Linked DNA regions of Canis lupus familiaris. The protein of the gene in region 1 binds, or shares a complex with, the protein of each later gene. Links are inferred from orthologs where the notes say so. Each region holds a gene or a part of one and is shown on either strand. Other genes may lie near its edges.

The links. The genes of interacting proteins can lie anywhere in the genome.
Region 2: TIMM29 (region 1) and TIMM10B share a complex: the UniProt entries of both Homo sapiens proteins name them as parts of the TIM22 complex. The link is inferred for Canis lupus familiaris from reciprocal best matches to the Homo sapiens genes TIMM29 and TIMM10B.

The regions. Positions count from the first base shown.
Region 1 is NC_049241.1:50,721,462-50,731,947, forward strand, and holds TIMM29 (mitochondrial import inner membrane translocase subunit Tim29), read right to left. Parts: upstream 5,429-10,486; 5' UTR 5,203-5,428; coding exon 5,109-5,202; intron 5,033-5,108; coding exon 4,344-5,032; 3' UTR 2,601-4,343; downstream 1-2,600. Other genes in the region: protein YIPF2, read left to right, coding at 5,624-5,654, 5,990-6,144, 6,239-6,319, 7,220-7,307, 8,550-8,666, 8,758-8,924, 9,002-9,184, 9,247-9,388 and 1 more. UniProt on the Homo sapiens protein: Component of the TIM22 complex, a complex that mediates the import and insertion of multi-pass transmembrane proteins into the mitochondrial inner membrane.
Region 2 is NC_049242.1:30,305,585-30,312,181, reverse strand, and holds TIMM10B (mitochondrial import inner membrane translocase subunit Tim10 B), read right to left. Parts: upstream 5,807-6,597; 5' UTR 5,712-5,806; coding exon 5,667-5,711; intron 5,492-5,666; coding exon 5,396-5,491; intron 5,255-5,395; coding exon 5,078-5,254; 3' UTR 3,990-5,077; downstream 1-3,989. UniProt on the Homo sapiens protein: Component of the TIM22 complex, a complex that mediates the import and insertion of multi-pass transmembrane proteins into the mitochondrial inner membrane.

The DNA of each region.
Region 1 (10,486 bases):
GCACACAGTGAGAGAGAGAGAGAGAGAGAGAGAGAGAGAGGCAGAGACACAGGCAGAGGGAGAAGCAGGCTCCACCCAGGGAGCCCGACACGGGACTCGATCCCGGGTCTCCAGGATTAGGCCCTGGGCCAAAGGCAGGCGCCAAACCGCTGCGCCACCCAGGGATCCCTGGATGCCCATTTTTAAATCAGATTTTTTCCTGATTGAATTGTATGAGTTCTTTATATATTTTGGATATATGTATATCCATATATATATATAAAATATGATTTAGAAATATTTTCTCCCGTTTGCTAGGTTGCCTTTTCATTTTGTTGGTTTCCTTTGCTGTGCAGCTTTTTAGTTTGCTGTCATTCCATTTATTTATTTTTGCTTTTGTTGCCGGTGCCCTTGATGCCAAATCCAAAAAATCATCACTAAGACCAATGTCGAGCTTACTGCTTGTTTTCCTCTGTGAGTTTTATGGTTTCAGATCTTAGGTTCTTTAATCTATTTTGAGTTACTTCATGTGTGTGGTGCACAATAGTGGCCCAGTTGCATTCTTTTGCGCGTGGCTGTCCAGTTTTTCCAACACTATTTATCGAAGACTTTCCCCTACCCCTAGTATGTTCTTGGCTCCTTTGTTGTAAATTAATTACCCATATATGCATGGATTTATTTCTGGGCTTTTTATTCTGTTCCACTGAGCTGCATGTCTGTTTGATACTGATACCAACTACACTGTTCTCAGGAAGCCTGATGCCTCCAGCTTTGTTCTTGAGATTGCTTTGACTGTTTAAGGTCTTCTGTGGTTCTCTACAAATTTTAGGATTTTTTTCTAGTTCTATGAAATGCCACTGGAATTTTGGTAGGGTTGTAGATTGGGGTAGTGTGGACATTTGAACAATATTCTCCCCATCCATGAGCCCTGAGTATCTTTACATTTATGTCTTTGGTTTTTTATGGTTTTTTTTTTGTTTTGTTTTTTTGTCTTTGTCTTGTAATTTTCAGCATACAGGTCTTTCATCTCCTTGGTTAAATTTATTCCTAGGTGGTGTTTTGATGTAATTATAAATGAGATTGTTTTCTGAATTTGTTAGTTATTAGCGTATATATATGCAACACTTTTGAGTATTTTTTATCCTTCAACTTTACTGAATTCACTTGGATTTTTTTCAAAGATGTTATTTGAGGGTAGCCCTGGTGGTGCAGCGGTTTAGCGCCGCCTGCAGCCGGGGGTGTGATCCTGGAGATCCGGGATCGAGTCCCACATCGGGCTTCCTGCATGGAGCCTGCTTCTCCCTCTGCCTGTGTCTCTGCCTCTCTCTCTCTCGCTCTGAATGAATAAATAAATCTTTAAAAAAATATATGTTATTGGGATCCCTGGGTGGCGCAGCGGTTTGGCGCCTGCCTTTGGCCCGGGGCGCGATCCTGGAGACCCAGGATCAAGTCCCACATCGGGTTCCCGGTACATGGAGCCTGCTTCTCCCTCTGCCTGTGTCTCTGCTTCTCTCTCTCTCTCTCTGTGTGTGACTATCATAAGTAAAAATTAAAAAAAAATTGAAAAAATATGTTATTGATTTGAGAGAGAGAAAGAGAACGAACACAGGGTGGGGGCAGAGGGAAAGGGATCATGACCGGAGCCAAAAGCAGATGCTTAACTTACCGAGCCACCCAGGCACCCCCGAATTCATTCGTTCTGTCAGTTTTTTTTTTTTTTTAAAGATATTATTCATTCATTCATGAGATAGAGAGAGAGAGGCAGAGAGACACAGGCAGAGGGAGAAGCAGGCTCCACGCAGGGAGCCTGACGCGGAACTCGATCCCAGGTCTCCAGGATCACGCCCTGGGCTGAAGGCAGGTGCTAAACCACTGAGCCACCCGGGCTGCCCTCTGTCAGGGTTTTTTTGATGGGGTCTTTAGCGTTTTCTATGTCATCTGCATATAGTAAGTTTTACTTCCTCCTTTCCAATTTGGATGGCTTTTCTCTTTCTTACCTAGTTGTTCCGGCCCAGGTCAATCACAAAGCTGGTGTGAAAGCTGAGACCCAAACTCTATTTTTAAGTCCCACTTCTTCCCCAGACCCTAATGCCCTTATGAAGAGAAAGTTTGTCCACCTTGCTGTTTCTGGTACTGGGTGAAGCCTGGGGGATCTCTTCTGGGCTGACCAAAGGATGAGGAGCCAGTCCTGCACTGTTTCCCTCTCCCCAGCAGGACCAGACAAGCTTCTGCCCACAATGAACACAGGCATCATCCCATTTAACTCTCTCAGCATTTGCTGGGGCCCATACTGGACTGAGCACTAGAGGGTGTTGGGAGTTCAGCAGCGAACAAGACCATCCTTTGGGAGCCTGTGTACACCCCAACACCCAGTCCTTGTTCCATCTACCAGTTCCAGTCCATGAGCTTTACAACTCAGAAGGCAAGAGGTACTAGAGAGGGAAGCAAAAATATGGTAAGACTCCACTGGGAAAAGCCAATCTTGCAACCAAAGACAAAACCACATAGACTTTAGGCCTACACTAAGCCCCTAAATCCCTAGAACACTGAGAGCTGTTTAGTTTGTTGCCAACAACTCCTCACAGCTGTAGGGGGACTGCACAGAACACACTCTGGCTGAATGTTAGAAGAGGCATTTAATAACCAACACAAGCAGTGAGCAAGTGCAGCTCTCACTGATCACGGTGAAGAACAAGTCTCACTTTGATGCTGATGTGTCTTAAAGCTTTCCCTGAAGTTGGTTAATATCTGTCTTGAACAAAAACATCCGGATTTAGGCCCAGAGCCTTTGGCAGGTAACAGTATAGGACCATAGTTTAGTATCATTTGCTTTTTGTTCCCATTACGTTTCATTTCTATATTCACTTATTTCAGTATTCAAGTTTTATTTATGGCTAATGATAGCAGCATTTAATAATTCCTGGCAAGATGTTGCTAGGATCCAATACAGTACCCCAAGTTTGAGGATTAAGGCACAGGGTTGGGAGTTACCATTTGAATCATAGCTCTGCCACAGCCTTGGAAAAATCAGCTTTTTGAACATCACTTTTTCCATTGTAATGAAGATGTTGATTTACAAGATGCTCCCCTGTCCCAAAAATAAGGATATAAAAATCACCATGTGTCCAGCATACCCACAATGGAAAGTCTGAGTACCAAAACTGAATGACAAAATACATGAACTCAAACGTCACAGCAAAGATGGTTGCTTCATCTCATGGGGGTTTTTTTACTTTTCTTTTTAGTAATCTCTATACCCAATATGGAACTTGAACTCATGACCCCAAGATCAAGAGTCAGTCTTGCTCTTCCCACTGAGCCAGCCATGGGTCACCTAGGTTCACGGAGGTAATCTCATTCCTCTATCCATTTTTAAAGTAGGGTTATCACAACCTAAATACCAGCTCTGTAGACTAACCTATTCCATTCAATAGTATTCTGGGTTTCCAGGGTGACTGAAATAATAATCTGTGATTCCATAGTTAATTCCAGATTTTTTAAAAAAATGCTTTATCCTTCCAAATCAGTTTGATATCACTGTCATATGTGGGGGGGGAAGGTTTTTGCAGAAAGATTCCCTGTAAAATCTATAGTCATACCACTGGCAATCTCCTAGTTTGCTGTAGTTTATTGTAAAACATTACCATTTGGGGTAAACTGGGTGAAGGATACACAGAATGTCTTTGGGTTATTTTTCCACTTTCTTCTGAAACTGCTTTTTAACTTTATTTTGAAATAATTAAAAATGCTACTCATGAAAATGAAAGAAGATAAACATTGCAATTCCAAATTTAAAGTGAAAATCTGGGGGCACCTGGATGGCTCAGTGGTTGAGTGTCTGCCTTTGGCTCAGGTGGTGATCTTGGGGTTCTGTGATCGAATCCTGCATCCGGTTCACCACAGGGAGCCTCTGCCTCTCTCTCTCATAAAATAAACTCTTTTTTTAAAAAAATAAAAATAAAGTGAAAATCTGAATGGTATTAGGAGAGCTTTGGAGTCACCTGACAAATGTGGTACCTCGGTGGAGGGACTGGGAAGCTCAGTAAAAAAGGCTTATATATATATGTATAAGGCTCATTATTAACTCTGGCAGTGATAAACATTACCTGGTCTTGTCGCTTTGCTCTCCCCCAACTCCTTGACCCAAGGTTAGGCCTAGACCAAGCTAACTCTGAATCAGCTTCAACTAACAAGGAACCAGATGAGCGGGAGAGAGGCCGGAAAGGTTGTGAAAACCCAGGGAAAGAACACTGTGCACATAATTTATTTAAGTCACTCTGGATCTGAGGCTAAAACACAGCGGATGCCATCCCGGGTGGACGGTCAGCCAGCGCTCCGCGCCCTTCCGGATCCAGGCCTGGGTTTCATCTGGGGACCTCCGACCGCACCAGGGAGTCGGCCTGGCTCAGGGCGAGTTTGTCCTTCTTCTCCTTCTGCAACACCTGCTCTTCCCACAGCGCCTGGTCAACCTGATCGTCTGTGAGCACGACGGGCTTGTACTTCTCGTCGAAGAGGCGCTCGTTCGTCTCAGAATGCAGCTGATGGGGTCCGACGACGCGCAGATGGGCCGGCAGGTGCTGGAACTCCTCGTCGTTGATGTCGCAGTCGCGCATCCGGGCGGCCAGCACCCACCAGCGGCCCACGAAGCCCACGTCCAGGATCCGGTCCGGGAAGTCGGCCCAACGGGGCTGCAGGTAGCGGCAGCGAGCCTGGTAGAGGCTGGCCTGGGCGTCGACGGGCGCCTCGTACACGAGCGCGCAGAGGCCCAGGTTCACGTGGCGGAGGCGGCCGCGCCCCCGCAGCCAGAGCAGCCGCTGCACACAGTCCTCGGAGGCGCGGTTGCGCGTGGCGGGGGCCAGCAGCAGGAGGATGCCCGACGCGTCGAGCAGCGCCTCCTCGAAGGCCGCCTCGCTGGGCGCCAGCGCGCAGCAGGCCGCCGCGCCCCCCAGCAGCCCCGCGTACACGGCCGCCCGCCAGGGCCGGGCCCGCGCCGCCGCCGCCGCGTCCCCGCAAGCCTCGGCGTAGTCTCGGAGCAGCACGCGGGCCCAGGCGCCTGAGGGAGAAGCGGAACACACAGGTGAGAGCAGGCCGCCGTGGCCACCCTCCCGCCGCCGCCCGCCGCTACTCACCCAGCCGCGCCCACACGCCCGGCTTCGCGGCCGCCGGGCCACCAGATCCTTCACGGTTTCGGGACCACAATCTCTTCAGAGCGGCCGTCGCCATTCTCTTCCGGCTCAGAGTCCGTTTTCCGAAGCGAAACGCCTCGTGTGCGAAGTAAAAGGCCCGGGGGCCTCCTGCGCCAGCGTCGACGGTGCCGGAAGTGGCTTCCCATCGGAACAAGACGGAACTCGGACCGCTGCCGGATGTTGCTGTCGGGTCGGAGCGCGGCCGGCGGAGGCCGGGAGGCGGGCCGCGCAGGCGCAGAGAGCCTGGGCCACGCCGGCTGAGGGAGCCTCAGGTGAGGGGGGCGGGGTGCACCTGTGGGGCGGGGGCGGCGAGGTCACCCCCCGCTCGGTGCCCTAGCGGCCTGGCTGGGCTCCGGGCTGAGGGATGGACCTGGGGGGAGGGGCACCGAGTGTGGTTGGGGGCGGGCGTCATTGGCCTCTGTCCTCAGAGCGGGATGCGGTGACGCCCCTGAGCGACCATGGCAGCGGCCGACGAGCTGGCCTTCCACGGTGAGTGGGCGGCGACCTGGCCCGAGCTCCTACTCCCTCCGCCGCCCGGACCCTCCCACCCGGGTGCCCGCCGACAGCCGGCCTGAAGCCCCGACCCTGACCCGAACCCCGCTCCCAGCCTGAGCCTCGGTCCCAGACCTGACCCCATCCCGGAACCAGCCTTAAGTGGTGGGCCCTTGTGGGGCGGGGGGACACACCTTACAACTCCCCAAAACTTAGGAAGCTGGGCCCTTAGGTAGCCCCAGGTGGAGTGTTGTCCCCCAGCCGAGCAGTGGGCCAAACCAAATTGTCTTGACTCCCAAAACATGCCTTTGTCCCGTATTCCTTCTCCATAGAGTTCGAGGAAGCTTCTAGTCTGCTGGCGGAGACCCCAGATGCGGCCACCACGAGTGGCCGCGGTCAGCTGGCCCCACAGGGGCACGTGGCGGTGGAGGTGGACTCGGGTGGTATCTACGGATCTGAGGAGGCTGAGGAGAGTGACAAGACTGCGGTGAGAGCCTCAGGCCCTGCCTGCACCCAGCCCTGCCCCCGCGCTCCGCCCAGGCGGGAAGGGCAGCCGCTGAAAGCCCATGCCATCCCTGCAGCTCCTGCAGGAGGAGAAGCAGCAGCCCGGATTCTGGACCTTTAGCTACTATCAGAGCTTCTTTGACGTGGACACATCCCAGGTCAGGCCCGGGAAGCTGGTGGGATGGGGCCTGCGGTCACACGGGGGTCCAGCCACTGTTCACTGAGCCCTTCCTAGACACCAGAATGCTGGTGATGCCCAGGCGGTAGGACACGGGCCCCTACACGGGCTGGTGGACTGTGGTGCGCTGTCAGGATTATGGTGTGATGGGCTCGTGGGAACACAGTTGCATATAGTCACGCAGGTTAGAGAAGGGCCTCCTGGAGGAGGTGAGGAATGTGCAGAGACGTGAAGGGAAGCACGTATGGCAGGTGCAGGGAACAGCAGATGCAGAGGGCCAAAGGTGAGAGAAGGTGTCACGAGCTACCTGTCACTTGATCTGGTTGGAGATTGAGGTGGGGGACAGGCAGGCAGAACCCAGACCACAAAGGCCTCGTACGCTGTGCTAGTTTGAGTTTCATCGTGAGGGTGCTGGGGAGCCACAGAAGGGCTTAGAGCGGGAGAGGAATGAATTGAATTAGGAAGGTGGCTCAGAGACCCCAGGCCTTAAACCTGGGGTGCAGAACAAGGAATATAGTGGAAAGAGAGGTAGGCAGGAGGATGCCCAGGATTTGACTGTTCCCCACCTCACGGTCCAGGCATGTCACAACATAACAGGCTGTTCAGGGCAGCCAAGCTAAGAGAAGGGAGAAGCAAGGAGAAAGATGACCAACCCGGAAGAGTCCTTGAGAGCAGTAGCGCGCTAGGGTATTGGGGCTGGCCAGGGAAAGGGGCATCAAAAACTCAGGGAACATCCAAGCTTTTTCAGGCAAGGAGATGGGAGCTCAGCAGGGAAGGAGCCCCTAAGGGCAGGAGCTTAGCCCTTTCCTCTTTCTTTGGTGGAGGGATGTGTGTGTTGGCCCTGTGCAGGCTCCCATTCTGGGCCCCACCTTGTCCCCAGGTCCTGGACCGAATCAGAGGCTCACTGCTGCCCCGGCCTGGCCACAACTTTGTACGGCACCATCTGCGGAATCGGCCAGACCTGTATGGTGAGTGGTGGTGTACGTTCAGCTCGATAATTCATTCAGCACATGTGGACCGAGTGCCAGCCCATGGATTCCAGCTGAGAAGAAAGTAGGGGCACTCCCAGAGGGCAGGAAGCACGCATTCCATCTGGGGAGACAGATATATAGAGGCTGCTGAGGGCAATGGGGCTCAGAAAAAAAGCAAACAGTTTAGAGGATGGGAGTTGCCATTTTGCATGGTTGAGACAGGACATCTCTGAGGAGGATGCAAGAATGGGCCTTGTTAGGGATGAAGGTGAGGAGACATAGGGGAAGAACATTCCAGAAGGGGGCACAGGTCCAGTGGTGGAGCAGTATTGTCACTGGAGCAGTGAGCTGCATGAGGTCGTAGAGGTGACAGGAGAGACTGTGCAGATTTTGTCCGTCTCAGTGAGAAGGGGTCTTAGTTAAGGACTCTGAGGCTTCCTCTGGCCATGGGGGGCGGGGGGGGGCAGGGGCAGATGCCAGGAGACCAGAGAGGCAGTGCCCGCCACCATGGTACAGGTGTGGGGTGATGGGCCCAGCCCCAGGTGGAGAGCAGTGGTTGGACTGTGAAAGAGATCTCATGGCAGAGCCGACGGGACTTCCTGACACCCTGACACGCCTGAGGTCGGGCGGGAGGAGAGAGGCAAGGGTGGCTCCTGGATTTCCATCGGGACTGCTAGAAGGATGGGACTGTCATTTACCAACTGGAAAGGCTGGGCAGGCTGGAGTTGGAGAGACCTAGACGTGACGTGGAAATGCTGACTATAAAGCCAGTGGTTCATGGCACAGACCAAATTTGAGACATTTGGGAGTCATCAGCCTGGAGGTGACCTAAACCCCTGAGGCGGGACAAGATGGTGCAAGGGGTGAACACAGAGAGGATGGCTGAAGACCGGCCCTGGCTGGGTCCCCGTTATTGAAGGGGTTAGGGAGTCCCAAAGGTTGGGGAATAGCCAGGAATGTGACATGCCAGAAGCAGGAGCATGAAGTCCTAAAAGCACATGGGGAGTGGTTCCAGAAGAAGGAAGCGATCAGCTACAGCAAAGGCGATAGAAAAGTCAGGAAAGCTGAGGGACTGAGGGCCAGCTCTGGGATCAGCCAGCCCAGGTCATCAGTGACGGGGGGTGGTGTGCAGGTAGCCCCGAGCCTAGAAAGCAGCTGGGGTCCCAGCACAGTTGAGATGGGACAAGTCTCCTGTTCGGGGAACCCTGGGCCCCTTCCCACACCCTGCCCTGCCCACAGGCCCCTTCTGGATCTGTGCCACGCTGGCTTTCGTCTTGGCCATCACTGGCAATCTGACGCTGGTGCTGGCCCAGAGGAGGGACCCCTCGATCCACTACAGCCCCCAGTTCCACAAGGGTGAGTGAAGTGGGCTAGGCCTGGCACCTGCCGGGGCTGGGAGTGCACAGAGCCCCAAGGGTGACTGCCTGCCTTGCCCCGCGCTCCACAGTGACTGTGGCTGGCGTCACCATCTACTGCTATGTTTGGCTGGTGCCGTTGGCGCTGTGGGGCTTCCTGCGGTGGCGGAAGGGTGTCCGGGAGCGCATGGGGCCTTACACCTTCCTGGAGACCGTGTGCATCTACGGCTACTCCCTCTTTGTCTTCATCCCCACCGTGGTAAGTGCGGCCCAGGGGTGGAGGGCACCAGGCATCATGGGGAAGGCCTGGTAGGCAGCTGCCCATGTCGCCCCCAGGTCCTGTGGCTCATTCCGGTCCCCTGGCTGCAGTGGCTCTTTGGGGTCATGGCCCTGGTGCTGTCAGCCGCCAGCCTGGTGTTTACCCTCTGGCCTGTTGTCCGAGAGGACACCAGATTGGTGGCTGCGGTGCTGCTCTCGACTGTCGTGCTGCTCCATGCCCTCCTGGCCGTGGGCTGTAAGGTACAGACGGTCACGACCGGGGCGGGGGACGGGTGCTGACCCCCCACCAACACTGACTCCAGGGGCCTCGGTCCAGTTTTATTTCTTCCAGCCCCTGCCTCTGGAGCACCTGGCACCGCCGGCCCAGGCCACGTCTCTGCCTGCGAACCTCTTGCTGCCACCCACGTCGAGGCCTAAGGCCACTTAGGGCGGCCGAGCCTATGGGTAAGGGGCTGCTCCTGCCTTTCCTCCCCGTCTCGAGGAGTCCCAGGGCTGCTCCCAGGAGTCTCTCTCTTTCAGGCCCAACATGAGGGGACACCTATGCCTGCCCTGCTCCTCAGACGATGGCTGAAGGCTCCCCTGACACCTCAAGATCACTCTGCTACTTTCCAGACTTTTCTTACAAAGCAAACACTTTTATTTTCTATGCAAAGGTGATTCCGAGAATTTATATAAAGGCGGGAAAGGGGCAGCAGGAAGCTCCTGGTGTGGCATCGCCCTCGGGCTCCCTGCCCAACCTTCTGCTTTCCCCAATGGGACAGTTGGGAGAGCAGAGGGGGGCCACCCCGGCCTCAACTGTGCCTGCCCTTCCTGGGTGCCTGGTGAGCTGGTCCCAGGGCCTAGCCTGAGCTCCACCGCATCCGAGTTTGAAGGTGTTAGAAACGGGGGGAGCAGAAGTAGAAGAAAATTGCCTGTGCTGAAACATACATTTCCTTGTTTATTTGTTTTGTTTTGGGGGGGAGGGGGCGGAGGTCCCTGCAAGGCCCCTTCCCAGGCTGGGGAGGGACCGAAATGCCATCATAGTATTAGGGACTGGAGCGTCTACAAATATTGAGGGAAACACACAGGCCTAATGTGAGCTACAAGGAAAAAGGACGCCTTCCACGATCGATCCTTGAGGTTTCTCGTGTCTGCCCCGAGCGGCTGACAGTGACCCTTCCCTCCAGGCCCGGGGCCCACGGGGCCACCTGTTCGAACTCTTGGCAGGGGTGGGGGAGGGGACCTGCAGGGGCTCAGGGACAGGACAGCAGCAAGAGGCAGGGGCCGAGGACGGAGGGCCTTCCCGACAGCCGGGGTGGGTTGTACATTCAAGTGTGAGGTGAACCCTTTGGTGGGCGGGGGCCTCGGGTCTCCAGAGGCCTGGCCCCACCCCTGTCCCGAAGACTCGGCAGGGCTGCCCCTCACCACTGAGCCTCTGAGTTGGGGAGAGGGGCTGCTGGCTCGGCCCGGCCGGCCTGGTTTCTCAGAGGGTCTGTGGATTGACACTGGTTCTTCTCGTAAAAAAATAAAATTAAAAAAAGCAGCATGTCACGCCCATTGTGA
Region 2 (6,597 bases), on another chromosome or scaffold:
TAAAGTAGCAATTGCAGTGACCCTGTTGGAAGATTACAAAAATGGGGAGAAGCAGACCGAATTAAGGGGGATATTTAGAAATGTAAAATGTAAACAGATGGAATTTGGCAACTGAGTGAGGTTTCTACCTTCTGCAACTGGAAAAGTACTAGGTATTGGAGGAAAGCTGATGAGGAAAACCTTTGAGTTGGGGATGTTTTTGAGATATCTAAGTGGGAATGTCAATCAAGTTGCTCAGAGGAGAGATCTGGGAGGCATGAATAACTGAAGCTGAGTGGGGAGGACACTGTCCTAGAAAAATGTCTAACAGGCCCTAGAGAAACCTTTAGATGTAAAGGCTGGAAGCAGGTGATCCTCAAAGGAGGCTATGAAGCTGTGGTGAAAGTAGTAGAACCATGAGTGGAATCAGACACCAGTGAAAGACTGACAATGGAACTAGTCCATTTTACCAGATGCTACTGAGAAATGAAGTAAGTGAGGACTGGGAAATCATCACTGAATTCAGGGATATGAAAGTCATTTGGTGGGCCAGGGTGACCTCATCAAGAACAATTTCAATAGAATAAAGATTGATGTCAAAATAGACTGGGTGGAGGAACGGGAATGGGAAGAGCCACAGTATCCAACTGTTTTAAGAAGTTAAGCTGTAAGGTGGAAAATAATAGTACCTAGAGAGGAATAAAGGAAGTGGTTTGTTTGTTGTAACAGGGGAGTTTCTAGCATGTTTGAACGATGGTGAGAATAGAGTGAAATAGGAAAAAGTCAGAGATTCCCAAAGAAGGACTAGAATTCAGAGCAGGAATAGGCATTGGCATGTTTGCCCTGCTTAGATGGAGGGAATGAGAGAAAGATGCAGATACAGGTGGGTGACCAAGTTTTGTTGTGAGATTTTGTGGTAGCTCCCAACTGTCAGCTTTTTTTTTTTTTTTTTTTTTTAACCTATGAATTAAAAAATAAAGTTACCTGCACAAAATTGAAGAGAATAGTTAGGGTAATAACAGGCTTAAGAATATTGATTCAAAAAAGTCATTGCAGGGAGCATCGGAGACTGGAAAAATCTAGTGGGATTATAGGGGTTGAGACTCCATTTGATGCTGGTAACCACAAATTCAGTGATATAAATCTGCTCTGTAGTGATTTCCTTCAGCTTTTAGCTGTCCAAATGCAGGCAGACAAATACCTCATTTTATCTGAGTCCAACAAAGAGATGACAAAAAACAGGAGTAGCCTGTTCCAAGAGAATGACTGGAATTTAAGCTGGATAGGAATCTAAAGACAGAGGTGTTAATGGAATGAAGGTAGAATCAATGGTTTGAATGCTCCAGCAAAACCAAAGAATAATAGTAAAGGAATAAATCAATAAACAAAGTGGAAGGAATAGTCAGTAAATAGTGTATTAAAGATGGAGCAGTTTGGGGGAAATGACAATGGCTAGGACATAGCTAAGGGAGTGGGTGGATAAGACAGAGTGGAAATTATTGAAGAATGAGAAAAGGGACTGAGAAACCAAAATACTGAATGGACTATCCAGTAACATTAAAGTACCAAGGGGTTGATAGGAAAACCAAGGGCTAGCCATTTCGAGGAAAGTAGGAGAGCAGTGGTTCCTAAGGACCAGTAATGAGGAAGGGTAGTATAGTTCAATAGGCCCAAAGGAATCTGATTTTGCAAAGGAATAGGCAGTTAAGTTCTGAAGTCACAATGGCAAGAACATCAACTCTGTCTCCAAAATGATGTGATAAGGGATAAAGCTTTGTTAACATTCTTGTGTCGTGGGCAACCCAGGTGGCTCAGCAGTTTAGCGCTGCCTTCAGCCCAGGGCCTGATCCTGGAGACCCGAGATCAAGTCCCATGTCGGGCTCCCTGCATGGAGTCTGTTTCTCCCTCTGCCTGTGTCTCTGCCTCTCCCTCTCTGTATCTCTCATAATAAATAAATAAAATCTTAAAAAAAAAAAAAATTCTTGTGTCATGCTTGAAACATCACACTGCTTTCATTACGCCAATGGACGTCACTTTATGATGAGACCTGAGGAAGATGTCAGTGACTACAGGAGATAGGTAGCAACAGTAGAGTTCTTCTACGTACTGAACGTATTTATAAACAGAGAGGGAAGAAGAGGTTAAAAACTTAAGGGATTAATTGATGGATACTTGTTTTTTCATCCCTAGGGACAGGCTGGGTGCACATGAGCAAACAAATATAAATTCTGGAAATTCAAAGAACATAGCCTCTAGAGTCAAGACAGATCTTTCTCAGCCCTGCTCCAGCAAGTAGTAATTATGTGACATGGAAACAGATGATTCGCAATGGAAATTTACTGCAAGGATACACGCAAATGTCCACGGAAGAGTCCTCCCACCAGCAGCACAGTATTCAAGGTCTCCATTCCTGTCTTGGAACTGGTTAAGTTCACAAGCTGCTTTAGCTGAAGTTTTACGTTCCAAGGAGAAAATTTTAATGAGTAGACACAAACCCATTCAGTAGGGAATTTCCTGGTCAGCAGCTTGTACATTCCTAGCAACCATCTGTTGAAGATATAGGAACTAAAGAGATGAAAAGCCATTTGGAGCAACTTTTCTCAAGAGGTAACTACGTAAACATGGGGCTCTGATACATTCTGGATTCTTGCTTCCTCATCCATTAAGTGGGGAATAATATCTCTTACTTGTAGTTTTGCTATAGATTAAAATAGGGATGCCTGGGTGACTCAGTGGTTGAGCATTTGCCTTCAGCTCAGGGTGTGACCCCAGGGTCCTGGGATCGAGTCCTGCAGCAGCCTAGGGAGCCTGCTTCTCTTCTGTCTCTACATCTCTCATGAATAAATAAAATCTAAAAAAAAAAAAAAAAAAAGGCTGAGATAAAGCAGGACATATACCAGCACTGGAACCCATACAAATCAGATGGCTCAATGGTATTTTGAGAGGCAGCCTGGTGTAATAAAAAGTACATGGATTTTATTTTTTTAAAAAAGATTATTTATTTATTTATTTACTTATTTATTTATTTATTTATTCATGAGAGACAAAGAGAGAGAGAGGCAGAGACACAGGCAGAGGGAGAAGCAGGCTCCACGCAGGGAGCCTGACACAGGACTCGATCCTCAGTCTCCAGGATCACGCCCTGGACTGAAGGTGGCACTAAACCACTGAGCCCCTGGGGCTGCCCAGAAGTGCATGGATTTTAAAGCCAGATCTGTATCTGTATCTTAAAAAGATATTAATATCTTAATATTAAGATACAGATTAATATCTTAATCTGTATCTTAATAAAGTCTGCTACTAGAGAATTTCAACTTCCTGATCCACATAGGGGAAAAAATGTCTGCTTTGTGGGTAGTTGTAAGGAGTTTTATGGGAGCCAATGTCTAAGAGCTTCCATTTCCTCCGTAAAAAATGAAACATGGTCCCCTGATGGAGGATAGCTGAACGTGAAATGGGGGATAAGAGCAGTGAAGGTGTAAACTAACTGCCTTGGTGATTAGGAGACAAAAATATACCAGGAAGCCACAAAGGGTTGCTTGTTGGTTGACGCTGGAGACCTTGAATGGTTAGTGCCACTCATTACACAGCTGTGTTTTTGTCTAGCAGTCTGAACAGAAGAACAGTAAAGGTAAAACAGCTGGAATGATACAAAAAGGACACAAGGGAGGCAAGAAAATGCGGTGATGGGGTGATAGGCCATTTAGAATGGTGGCACAAGTAAATTTTATGAGGGCAATAAATGAGAGAAAGATAGAGAGGCTCAGCATGGAAATAACAAAACCGGGACAATGAAAACAATGATGGGTAGAGGACAGAAGAGCTGGAATTAGATTATAGACTTGGAGGTAACGATAAAGAGGTCCCAAGGATTTGTTTTATCTTTTTCCCCATAACCATCATCATCTATTTCTCCCCTGAGCTTTTGTTCCTTGGGTCTGGCTATATTGTAGAATATGGTCCTCCAAGTTCCCCCTTTCTGACTGCTCCTGAAGACAAGCACACAGACCTTCTTTGTGTAAAAGCTTTACTGCTCATCCTGGGGAAGACAGAAAATAATAAGAAAATAACAACTTGGGAAAATGGCTGAAGTTCCAGAACACCCCGAAATCTTACAGGTTTCATTTCAGTTACGGGGCTACTGACTTTCCAGAAGGCACTGCATACAAAAACCCTGTGATTTCTTGATCTGTTATTCTTAGGTATCTCCTCCTTCCCCTAAATTTAGGAGAATTCTTTAGAGCCCATGAAAAGAGTTATAAATGAATGCACACCCAGCTCACAAATAAACCATTAAGTCAGATTTAAGTGAAGGACAACAAGAAGAGCTCTTATTTTCTCTGCCATCTGGGCAGGAACCAACTTCCTATTGCTATTACTAACATTAAAATCGTACCACAGGGGTGCCTGGGTGCAGTTGGTTAAGTGTCTGTCTTTGGCTCAAGTCATAATCCCAGGGCCCTGGGATCAAGCCCCGCATCTGGCTCCCTGCTAGGCCCGGAGTCTGCTTCTCTCTCTGCCCCTCCCCCTGCTCATTCTCTCTCTCTCTCTCACATAAATAAATAAACAAAATCTTTAAAAAAAAGAAAGAATTAAGTAAGATGCACCTGGGTGGCTCAGCCATTGAGCGTCTGCTTTTGGCTCAGGGTAGGATCCTGGGGTTCTGGGATCAAGTCCGGCATCGGGCTCCCCACAGGGAGCCTCTGCTTCTCCCTCTGCCTATGTCTCTGCCGCTCTCTGTGTGTCTCGTGAATAAATAAACTCTTTACAAAAGAAAAAATTGTACCCACAGGCCTTGTTTTAACCAGGTGCCAGGAAATGTTGAGGTTTTCCTTCTACACATAGAAGCCAATTTCTCCACTGCCAGGGCTGAAGCCAACAGATATGCGCTGACAGGATAAAGGATGGGGCCAATAAAGCGGGCAAAGCTTCCGTGCCCAGAACATAAATCAAACAGTGCAAAAGTGGGTTTATTGGCTCCAAGAAAAGGAGCAATACTACCCAGCTGTCAGACAACCCCTCACTCTATATATGGGCTGCATCCAGCCCAAGGTCCACTGGCTCCTTCAGTTTGAGGGTCCATCCAGCGCCTCCCTTCCTAGCTGCCTGATGGTGAGGTTCCGGGCTGTTCTGCAGCAACACCTGGCCCAGCTGAGGCAGCCTCGTAGTCTGCGATGCGGCGCTGTACCAGAGCCGGCATGAGCTGCACGTAAGCGGCCATGAGGCGGTGGTTGGAATGGATCAGCTTCCCAGCACAGCTGTGCAGACAGGCCTCCTGGAAGGAAGACAGGGTGAAGCATTGGTGTCCACTGGTGTCCGTCCCATCCCTGGCCCAGGGGCAAGGGTCATGGAAAGGCCCGGGCCAGAGGTAGGGGCGGTGGAGGTTGGGGACAGTCTACGGCGAACCCCACCTAACCTCTTCAGCGTCCAGAGCTCGGTGGTGCAAGCTGGGCACGCAGCGCTGGAAGCAGAGTTCCGTCATCCGATTGTAGACCAACAGGAAGTCCCGCAACTAGGAGAGAAGGGGACAAAGAGCCCAGCGATAAGGGGGCACCTCGAGGCCGCGCCCTCGAGGTTTCCCAGGACGGCGCGCCAGAGCGCGACGTTCCCAACCCTCCGCCCTCCAGCCAAACGGACGAAGATGCCAGCTGAACTGATGGCCCCGTCGCGACTTAGCACCCACTCACGTTCCTCAGCTGCTGCTGCTGCTGCTGCTGCTGCTGCGGCTCCATCGCGCCACCGGCGCACGCACGTCACTTCCGCACAGCCTCTTGGTAACGCCCCGGAAGTGACCTCTCCTGGCTCCCCGGGGACTGAGGGGTTGCCTCAAGGATCGCCCCGCCCCTGGCTTTAACGTCATCTCCGCCCTTATAGTCTGCGACGTGGCCGGCTTCTTCTGCCCGGGAGGGGACGTCACTTCCGCCGAGTCCCTGACCTGCTGCTAGGATCGCGACGGGAACTGGAGCCCGAGGTCCCCGCGCGGCCCGGGCCTGGCGCCCTGAGGGGAAGAGCGGCCCGGCCCGAGGTGAGAAGGACATACTTGGGCAAGGGGAAGTTGAATGCACGAGCCTGCCCCGAGGGAAAGATGCTACAGAGCCCTGGGGAAGGATGAGGACACACCTGATGCCCAGGTGTGGGGTGGGGGGGGGGCGGGGACTAACACACCTGGGGGACATAACTGACTTTGGAAGGGATCACTATGTGCTGGGAAAATGTGGCTTTTCCCAGAGGCCAAGAACGGACACCAACTGATTCAACTAGGGCCTGCAGGGGGAGGGCTGCAGGAGGAGGGGGTGCATGGGATGGAGGAGGGAGAGACCACCTGAAGGAAAGGGGAAGCAACCCTAAGGGAGTGTGAGAGGCCAAGCAATGGAGAACATACCAGAGCGGGAGGAGTAGGCTCCTGAGCCCTGGAAAGGGGTTAATCTGATGGGAGGAAACAGCTGCATGGGGGTAAGTTCCAAAACAGCACAGACTTTCTCTCCCTTGGCCACTGCTGTGACCTCAAATAGTAGTCTGTTGAATGGTTGAACGCATGAGTGATCACCTGAGTCCTGGTGGGGTTGGGGGTCCGTGAGAAGATACTGGGGACCTGGGTGTGCATGTGGAAAGATACAC